3 linked regions of the Bombyx mori genome follow. The protein of the gene in region 3 binds, or shares a complex with, the protein of the main gene of each other region. Links are inferred from orthologs where the notes say so. Each region holds a gene or a part of one and is shown on either strand. Other genes may lie near its edges.

What was found.
Region 1: microfibrillar-associated protein 1 (region 3) and zinc finger matrin-type protein 2 share a complex: the UniProt entries of both Homo sapiens proteins name them as parts of the spliceosome B complex. The link is inferred for Bombyx mori from reciprocal best matches to the Homo sapiens genes MFAP1 and ZMAT2.
Region 2: microfibrillar-associated protein 1 (region 3) and WD40 repeat-containing protein SMU1 share a complex: the UniProt entries of both Homo sapiens proteins name them as parts of the spliceosome B complex. The link is inferred for Bombyx mori from reciprocal best matches to the Homo sapiens genes MFAP1 and SMU1.

Annotation. Positions count from the first base shown.
Region 1 is NC_085128.1:9,737,893-9,740,705, forward strand, and holds zinc finger matrin-type protein 2, read right to left. Parts: upstream 2,031-2,813; 5' UTR 1,828-2,030; coding exon 1,713-1,827; intron 1,626-1,712; coding exon 1,384-1,625; intron 933-1,383; coding exon 693-932; 3' UTR 642-692; downstream 1-641. UniProt on the Homo sapiens protein: Involved in pre-mRNA splicing as a component of the spliceosome.
Region 2 is NC_085112.1:943,239-947,000, forward strand, and holds the start of WD40 repeat-containing protein SMU1, read left to right. Parts: upstream 1-957; 5' UTR 958-1,158; coding exon 1,159-1,184; exon of another isoform or gene 1,185-1,201; intron 1,202-1,278; coding exon 1,279-1,345; intron 1,346-2,046; coding exon 2,047-2,305; intron 2,306-2,676; coding exon 2,677-3,191; intron 3,192-3,629; coding exon 3,630-3,757; intron 3,758-3,762. UniProt on the Homo sapiens protein: Involved in pre-mRNA splicing as a component of the spliceosome. Regulates alternative splicing of the HSPG2 pre-mRNA. Required for normal accumulation of IK.
Region 3 is NC_085127.1:8,423,980-8,427,741, reverse strand, and holds the start of microfibrillar-associated protein 1, read left to right. Parts: upstream 1-1,514; 5' UTR 1,515-2,597; coding exon 2,598-2,670; intron 2,671-2,838; coding exon 2,839-3,032; intron 3,033-3,179; coding exon 3,180-3,391; intron 3,392-3,720; coding exon 3,721-3,762. UniProt on the Homo sapiens protein: Involved in pre-mRNA splicing as a component of the spliceosome.

The sequences.
Region 1 (2,813 bases), on a different chromosome or scaffold from region 3:
ACCCGAAGAAACACAAAATAAAACAAATCACACAACTTCACGCCTCGCGTTCCCGCCAAAAAGTATTATATAAAATTCTTTTTTTAAGGTATTTTATGACCTGGTGACTAAGACCTTTAAGTCATGTCTTATTTTAATTTATAGATTTGGGCGAGATCGTTATCTTAGCCCAGACTCAACAGAAACGACTTAGAGTAGAGAGATGAGCGCTCTTTTAACGCCCAGCCAACTGATTTTGTTGTTGAATTGTTTATTGTCCTCGAAAAGTCAGTCAGTCAAAGTAGTCACGTGCGATTTACATATCCCAAAATCCCAAATCCCAAAAACTAAAGTTGATGTGAGTTTTGACATATACAGGACTACTGGAGTCAGTGAAAAGCTTTCATCTAGCACATGAAAAACATGCCCTCATACCAAGTCCGGTAGTGGACATTGTAGCCTTATAATTTATATTTTTTAATTGGAAAAAGCATTTGGAACATGTTACATTTACATGGTGTCGTTTTTTCTAGCCTTTTCCAAATAAATATGGTAATATTATCCTGTCTGCTAAATCAAAGTTCATAATTATACCTTGATAAAACAAGGTCAGGGCAAATAGAATTATTAGCCAAATAATAATTAAAACATTCAATGAAACATTATTGTACCACACAGTATTTATTAATATAAGCTTTACATTTTAAAACATATCATTTTTTAGATCCTCCAAAGCCAGAAAACCCCATAATTTGTGCTAATTCAGAAGGTGCTGGTGTATCATCTATTTCATCATTCTCCATTAACTTCCGTTTCTTGTCCCGACGTCTCTCCCTACGTAGCTCTTTCACACGAGCTTCTTCTTCAGCGGCTTCCTTTAATCTTGTGTCTAATTCATATTCACGCTTTTTCTCTTCCAACTTTCGTTTATTGAGTGCAAATCTTGCTTTTACCTGGAACCAAACAAATATAATGTAGTAGTAGTAGCTATGATAGAATAGAATAAATATTATTAAAACCTGAATGGTATTTATAAAATTGAGAACAGCTAGATGAGTTAGATAGATTATTTCAAATTAGTGGTCTAGAAATTTAAATCATCTATTTGGTTGAACATTTTACATTTATTATTCCTTAACAATAGCATTAGAACTTGATAAAATTAAGATTGAAAGAATTTGTTGAGAATTATTTTAATATTGAGTGCTCTAGTTGAGTGGGATGGTAGGTTTGCTCAACTCAGGCAATCACAAAAATAATAGCGTTGGTTCATGATGTTTGTTATTATTTTGATGCAACAGTGGCCAATTGATGATCTCAGACCATAAATCTAGTAGCAAGTCAACAATCCTATTTACCTGCTTGGTACTATGCATATACATACATGTGAAAAAGTAAGCTCACCTGATCTAAGCTGCTCCTTTCTATTTTCATGGACATTCCCAGATTCCTCTGATGTTTTTTACCATTGATGTGATCAAGGAAATTTATTGAATCTTTAACAACACAGTCACAAACATTACAATAATATCCTCCAGATTGGGACGTTGGCGTATTCTTATTGATTACTACACTCTTCCCGAGTCTCGAGTCCAAATCTACTTTATATTCACGTTGTTTGAGAAGTTCACGTTTGACTGGAGTGGCTGGAAAATGAAAATTAAACAAACATTTATATATTGTGTCAAATTTGTATTTTAACGTAACAAAGTGTGTTGACACAAATATTTTACCTTTCTTCTTGGATTTTTCTTCTTCTTCTAGCTCTGCTTTCAAACGCTCGGCTGCAATTTTCTCGAATTCCTCTTTGTCCCATTTTCTTCGGTGGTCATCGGGGCGCATACTCATGTTTAAATTTTATAGTATTTATTTCACAACAATTACAAGTTATGATTTTCTTACACACTCCACTTGTTTGTTTTATATTAAACGTGTACCCAGAGGGAAGAGTAATCAATTAGATCTATTAAAAAAATAACACGAGAAAATCATCCTTAACAACACAAACGAAATGTTTCTAATTGACAACTAGCAGTGACAAAACTGACAAATGATTAGTTGTAGTATTTCCATTTTCTAACAAGAAAGGCGAAAGCATATATATATTATACAGCCTAATCTTTTATATATTCAGTTACATGAAAATTAATATAATAGGTTGGGGAAAAAGTTTCTTCGCATTTTTTAAGAAAATTAACAAATTTTTTTAATAGTTTATTTACATTTAACTTAAGTATGTAGGTATCATTTTGTTCGATAGCTTTTTGCCATTTTGTAAATAGGGACATGATCCCATTGCTATAAAAAATTTGGGGCTTCTGATCAAAATACCGAGACAATTGGTTTTGGCAGTCCTCTCGTGATGTTAATCTGACACTGCCTAAAGAATTCTGAAGAACCGAAACAGGTGGAAACCTGAAGGTGCAAGGTCAGGACGGATATACGGATAAACAGCGGATGCATTAACATCTTCCAGTCAAGCTCTCTTAATTTTTGCTGAATGGCTAAAGATGTGTAAGGTCACATTGTTATCATGATGAAAAGCCACACTCCTTCTGTTGATTAATTCTGGCCACTTTCTCTCAACTTCTTCCTTTAATCTCATCAGTTGTTCGCAGTAGAGTTCAGAATCAATGGTCTTGCCTGGTGGTAACAGCTCATAATGAATAATGTCCTTCCAATTCCACTACACAAACAGCATCACCTTGTTGCAAGTTAACCCAGGTTTTGCCACAGTCTGTGAAGCCTGACGGACCTTTGACCACGACTTTTTTCGTACGTTCTTGTCGTGCGTGATCCACTTTTCATCACCAGTTATCAGCTTCTTCAAACAT
Region 2 (3,762 bases), on a different chromosome or scaffold from region 3:
CTGCCTACCGTTATATTTGACAGTAATTTGCCCGGCAGAGAAGTTCGCACCTGCTCCGTAAACCCTTCTGGGACTTTGTCACCGCGAAAAGCATTCTCGTCAACGAGCGCGAAGCTCCATTCTTTCCCCGTTACTCAGTTCAGTATATATTTTAATAATACACGCCAGTCGTCAGAGACCCTTCTAGCTCTCTTCGGCGATGATACTAGTTATTACTGGAGTGAGCTGGGAAGATGTCGCTAATTCATCGGCGACTCTAGACCGCAGGATCAGGAGCTTCGGAAGTGGCGTAATTAGTGGTGGTAGAAAGTCTTGTGAGTATCCTTGTGAGTAGTGAGTAGACTTGTGAGTACCTACCGCACGGGTAGGTACCACTACCCTACCTATTTCTGCCGTGAAGTAGTAATGCGGTTCGGTTTGAAGGGTCGGGCAGCCGTTGTAATACTGAGACTGTTAAGTATGTGTGCGTGTGCCTACGCATACGGGGTATTTCAACAAATATAGGGCAGTGTGTTAACAGCAGGCAAGTGTTTCACTCGTGTATCCCTCGTATCTAACAGAGACCTTATAACTTACATCTCAAGGTGGGTGGCGGAATTAACGTTGTAGATGTGTATGTGCTCCAGTAACCACATAACACCAGCTGTAAGCTCGTCCACTCATCTAAGCATTAAAAAAAGAACGATCCTGATGACCGGACAATATACAGTCGCCCTCAGTCTTAACCCGTTATTTCGGGTCAAAGAGTCGTGGGTCCAATTTCCAGGATAAAATGTACTATGCGTACATCGCAAGCTACTAGGCAGGATAAAATGCGTAATGCATATTAAACATAATAATTAAGGCCTATTGGTAGCATAGGAGGCATTGACCATACACTTCACGTTTAGTTTGTAGTCATAAAATTAAATGTTATGTGGGCAACATGGAGTAAGGTTGTAATAGTAACTCTATGGTGGGCAATCTATGTATGGCTTGTAGCTAATCTATGGCGCTGAACTTGAATTGTGTTTATTTCCTTCTGTGTGATTTTATTTTCAATAAAATTTTAGACATTAATTTTGTGACATTGTTTATTATATATGTAAAAATATAAACCTTCAAATTCGCGTAGCAAGTTTTCTGTGGTAACTTCGTATAAAAGACGTTTTATACACAATGTCCATTGAGATAGAATCAGCCGAGTGAGTTTACTATCAATGTAAACACGAAATTACTTGAAATTATTCATCAAATATTTAATTTAGTGCCTAAAATATATTTTTATTTCAATTGCAGTGTTATCAGACTGATACAACAATACTTGAAGGAGTCAAATTTAACCAAAACATTGCAGACTTTGCAGGTTAATTCTGTTGATATTTAATTAAACATATTTTTTAATGAATAGAATTAGTGTAAATTTTTTAAACTTTACAGATTGCACTTATTTTACTTAATTATTCACTTATATTAATGAATTTTGTGTACATTTATGAGAACTTCAATTGTATCAAGTCAGAAAAGAATACCAACTTATTATTGATAAACTCTTAAGCTTTGACACTGGCTAGGATTAATGTTACATACGGCTTTTTTAACTTCAGACAGCATGCAACTTTTAGTAAGATCCACCCATATTGAACAATTTGGGGTTGTGAATTTTTTTTAAATATTGATACCATTCCTGTGCCACTGAAGCTTTAACTTCCAAGATTAGTAGTTGTAATGACCAAATTATATGAGATGTATGCATGTTGTTCACTACTGTTAGGGTGTCTTGTGACCCCCCAATGGTACCTATAAGTTCCTGCCTATTTTTCAATAGAGCAGCCATGTGTACAGGTTTGATAGATGTGACAGCTGTAATACTATGTATAACACTGAAATTTATACCTGAAGTTTCAAGTTAGAAGGATGGCAGTGTTGATATGTCTCAACTAAAGACTCAACACTTAGTTGGCAATGAGCTTGTTCACCATTTTATGCAATAAAAAGCCGTAACTGTACATCTGATTCAGATGTCATCTCTCTGAATTTTGAAAGTAAATGATTTTTAATATATAGGAGGAAACTGGAGTGACTCTAAATACAGTAGACAGCGTGGACGGTTTCTGCGCAGATATTAACAATGGCCACTGGGACACAGTACTTAAAGCTACTGCTTCACTCAAGCTTCCTGACAAAAAGTTGATGGAGTTATATGAGCAGGTTGTATTGGAGTTGATAGAACTGCGAGAATTGGGTGCTGCGAGATCCTTGCTACGTCAGACACATCCTTGTCTGTTGATGAAGCAGCATGAAACAGATCGGTATATGCATCTTGGTGAGTCAAAATTTTAGTATATGTATTTGGCTAAAAATACATCCAGTCTTTAAATCAGATTTGTATCTTAGAATGCTAATGAATATGAATAATATAATATAAAAAGATATAATATTTAAAATAAAACTTATTGCAATACAATAGTAAATAAATGCAATACAATTAAAGTAAATAATACTACTGCTGTAGCAACTTGGCTATGCCTTTGGCATTGTTGATGTCCATTAATGTGACCAGATGGGTGGTCCTAAGCTGATCTAAATAGAGGCAATAAAAACATGTTTAGTTTAAGCAATTTTTATACACATTTCCAATTGTTTTAATCCATAGTTAAATCTGTATGTGTCTGAATGTTTATCTTCATATGACAGAAAACCTGTTAGCACGTTCATATTTCGATCCTCGTGAGGCATACGGCAGTGGAGGAGGCAAGGAGCGGCGCCGCGCTGCCATCGCAGCGTCCCTCGCCGGGGAGGTGTCCGTCGTACCGTCGTCCCGTCTGCTGGCACTACTGGGCCAGGCCCTCAAATGGCAACAGCACCAGGGTCTGCTCCCTCCCGGCACCACTATAGATTTGTTCCGTGGTAAAGCCGCAATAAGAGACCAAGAAGACGATCTCTGCCCCACCCAACTGTCCAAGATCATCAAATTCGGTCAGAAGTCCCACGTGGAGTGCGCGCGATTTTCTCCTGATGGACAATATTTAGTGACGGGCTCCGTAGATGGCGTCGTTGAAGTTTGGAACTTTACAACAGGAAAAATCCGTAAGGATTTGCGTTATCAGGCTCATGATGAGTACATGTGCATGGAAGAGGCGGTGCTGAGCCTGGCTTTTGCGAGGGATAGCGACACATTGGCTGCTGGGTCTAATGATGGAAAAATTAAGGTAATAAATGTTTTAAAACCTCATGCTAGTTAACCTTTTCATTACTGCTTCCGTGTAAAAAGTGAGTTATTATTGCTCCCTAATATATAATTATATAATGCTATGTATATGACCTAATGAGCTCAGAATTCACCTGGGCATCATTAGGTGGTAACAGACAAAACGGAAAGCAATATATATTTCCTAAGATGATTATATACTTTTTGTTGAACATATCGTGCAACCGCAATGTAATGTGAAGTTAAGAGACCTTCTCCTCCCCTTCCCTCCTCTTCTCCACCCCTTCTCCACCCCTTCGCCACCCCTTCCCCGGGCTGCATTGAACTTTGAACATGAAATTTTTTGGTCGTTCAAGATAGTTTCATTGTATCCTTTGTTCAACACATGGGTCATTAAGTAAATTCAACATAATTACTCAATAAAATTCTCTGTGAACAGGTCTGGAAAGTGTCAACGGGTAAAGTGCAACGCAAACTGGACCGAGCTCACTCTAAGGGCGTGACCTGCCTGCAGTTCACCCGAGACAACACTCAGATCCTCTCGGCCTCCTTTGATCGGACCATAAGGTATT
Region 3 (3,762 bases):
TCATTTCGAAACTAGAGTTTCTTTCTAAAAAAGTACCCTCTTCACATAAACCTTTACCTTGTCTGTTAAAAAGTTTCCTGAAATTCAAACAATTACAAGCCCCAACTCATTCTTTTCAGGTGCTTCCTTTATTTGGCGCTTCTTATGATTCTCTCTTACTTTCTCCAGTGATTTGCTTTTCTCTTGGCATTGAAAAATCTGATTTTAATGCCAATGAAAATTTTAATTGCAATGTCAATAGTAAATGGCCTAACTGGCATCAAATTTATACAGATGCATCTAAACACTCCAGTGGGTGTGTTGGTGTTGGAGTGTATCACAAACAGTACAACATAGTTCAGAAAATTAAATTACCTCCGGAATCATCGGTCTTTACCGGTGAATGTTTTGGACTATTAAAAGCTCTTGAATATGTGCTGTCTTTCAAACTAAAAAAAACCGTTGTATTTACTGATTCCTTAAGTGCATTACAGAGCTTAGCAAAATTTTCACTAAAACTTAACCCTTTTTTTCATGTAATATTTGAATGTAAGAGAAAGCTGTTGCACTGCCAATCACACAACTATTTAGTATCATTTTGTTGGGTACCTAGTCACTGTGGCATATCTGGAAATGTGAAAGCTGACAGTTTGGCCAACAGTGCAACTGTGACCGGTGACGTATACCCGTACAAGAATTTTGGCCATGATCTTGCTGCTTTGCCCGGCATATGCCTCCACAAATCATGGAATATGTGTTGGGAAGAGAGCGGCCGGATTAAGGGTCGTTTCTTGTATGCTATACAGTCTTCCGTTCCCAGGAAGCCATGGTTTGCCAAATTGTCGTTTGGTAAAACCGCCACTTCTACTATAATTCGTATGCGTCTGGGACATAACAGCCTTCCAGTTCATTTGCACAAACTTGGTATCGTAACTAGTACCGCCTGTGAGTGTGGCGAGAGTTATTGTGACCTGAATCATATTTTCTTTGCTTGTTCTTTATATGATCATTCTTCCTTATATACTTCTTTAGTATCTCTCTCTATTCCCCTTCCTACTAATATTTCTTTACTTCTTCGAGATTTTAATCCCCTTGTATATAGTATTTTAAGTAGGTTTATTTTAAATAATAACATTAAACTATAATTTTGATTTATTTTCCCTGTTATATAATTATTCTGATTTTTTTTGTAAATTCAATTCGTTCTAAATCATTTATGTTTTGTTGCGATAAGTTTCCTTCGTTTTTTATTATTTATAAACTGTAAATAAATAAAACGGCGAATTATAAAAACGTTATTACTTGACGCTGGCTAATGCACAAAACGTGCCAGAGCCAAAAATAAAGAAGAAGAAGAAGATATATGAAAAAATTGTGTCCGATTTTTAGGATGAGTGCTCCATAATGAATTTAAATATATTATCATATAGTTATTAGTTTTGGTGTATCTACTTTCTTGAGATCCTATTAAATATGTTATAATTATTATTTTTGTATGGTTTAAGCGGGGTAGCATGATAAAATAAGAAATGTTATATAAGCAATCATATTAAATCGATATCAAAGTCAATAACCCAAAATCCTGGTGGTAGGACCTCTTGTGACTCCGCGCGGGTAGGCACCATCGCCCTGCCTATTTCTGCCGTGAAGCAACAATGCGTTTCGGTTTGAAGGGTGGGGCAGCCGTTGTAACTATACTGAGATCTTAGAACTTATATCTCAAGGTGGGTGGCGCATTTACGTTATAGATGTCCATGGGCTCCAGTAACCACTTAGCACCAGGTGGGCTGTGAGATCGTCCACCATTCAAAGCATTAAAAAAAAACCGGTTGAACTGACGTGACAATGACATTTGGTGCGCTAAGCATGACGGATTTTCGGCCTCATTAGACATTTACGTATATTCATGTTTCATTTTATGTACGCACTGAAATACTGTTATATTGTTTTCCTGCGAGTTACAGTGCTGACTCGTGCTGAGTAAGAACGAGATAGATATATGTTTATGTGTGTGCCTTCAAAATGGGTGTTATTTGTATAAGCAATTGTACGTATAGAAAAATATGTCGTGTCCCTACTATATAGGTCAATGAAACGCACTGAAGTATACTTTAAAGGTTTATGTATAAACAATGTTCTACAGCTTGTCCTGTAGCCATGTATGCAAGCCTCATTAACACACTACACCATCAGTGGTCACTGTTGCAAATAAATTTGCAAAAAGTCTTCAACAGGATTTTTTTTTTATCAAATTACTTTACTTCTTATTTAGTAAATGTGAAAAAGTTATGACTTTCCTCTTCGCTTAAAGCAGTTTCATACAACAGATATGGTTTTAGTTTTAAAACAAAACAGCCTGTATGACCTTTGTTCCTTTGGTCAGGGTATTTGCGTGTTTGAAAAAAATTTGTTGAAGTAATGTCAAATTCTGTATCTTATCTGTGGCTAGTACTAATCATACTAAACGTATCGTTACTGTAATTTAGGATAATAATGGGTAAAATATCTTTTAAACTGAACAAGGCTTTGTGAAATCAAGTAATTTATATTTAATGAAAATTTAATAATTGGGGTCTAGTAGCTACTATCATTGTTTTATAAACGAAAACACTGGCAAGATGAATGTCCTACCAGCACAACCTACAGGCATTCAGAGTACAGCGGGAGCAATTCCGATAAGAAATGAAAAAGGTACGATAATGTATTCCTAAAATGAATTTAAAAAAAAACTGGCTTTCAAACTTCCATTCTATAAAAATAAAGTTAATTGATTCGAAATTTTCACATTAATCAATGCAGCTTAGTTGAAGCATTTCCAAAGTTTTCATTTTATTTTACATAAATTGGCTTCATTTTCAGGTGAGATCTCGATGCAAAAGGTGAAAGTTCAGCGATACATATCTGGAAAAAAGCCTGACTATGCACAAGGAATGTCATCATCTGAGGAATCAGATGAAGAAGATTTTATAGAGCAACAAAGACCTGAACGGAAACAAGTTTTACCTCAAATAATCACCCGCAAAGAAGAACATCATAGCGATTCTGAGAAAGAGGTAACTTATAAAGAGCAACACTAATGAGAAATACTATAAATGGACTGCTCTCTGCAGCTCATCTTAAATTGTACCTCATAACAGAAGTGTCAAGGTTAATTGCATCTTTTTCACTTCATTGTAGAAATGTATAATTTCACTTTTAAGGTTGATGATCCTCGATTACGACGTCTCCGTAATATTGCACAATCACCGCCGCGTAGAGCCGAACACAAGCCTGAAATTATTGATGCAGAACCTGAAGCAGAATCTGAGATCAGTGATCATGACGTGAGGGATAGTTCCGAGAGTGAAGATGAACTGGATGAGGAAGAGATTGAAAGACGCAGACAGGCTCTAAGAGCAAAACTTGCAGCCAGGTAAATGTAGAACATATTAGTTTTTAAATTCACAATAATACAGTGAAATAGATAATTTTAAATGAATTATGCTTTCAAATATAACTCCTGAAAGAGTATATGGGACTCTCCACCCAGCCAAAAGGGAGATTGCTGTAGTTGAAATGTAGTGGTTTTCACATTGTAGTATATATGAGTTCCAAGTGTTTTGAGTTCCTTCACTATGCAATCACTATGCAATAAAAAAGGAAGACATTGTTAGCACAAGTGTTTTTTTAAAAAGGTGCATTACGAACTTAAATATTAAATACGTCTGAATGTAATAAAATTATCAATTTATTAAATGGTAGGGAAGCTGAAAAAGAAGTACTCGGTAGAGATGAAGATGAAGA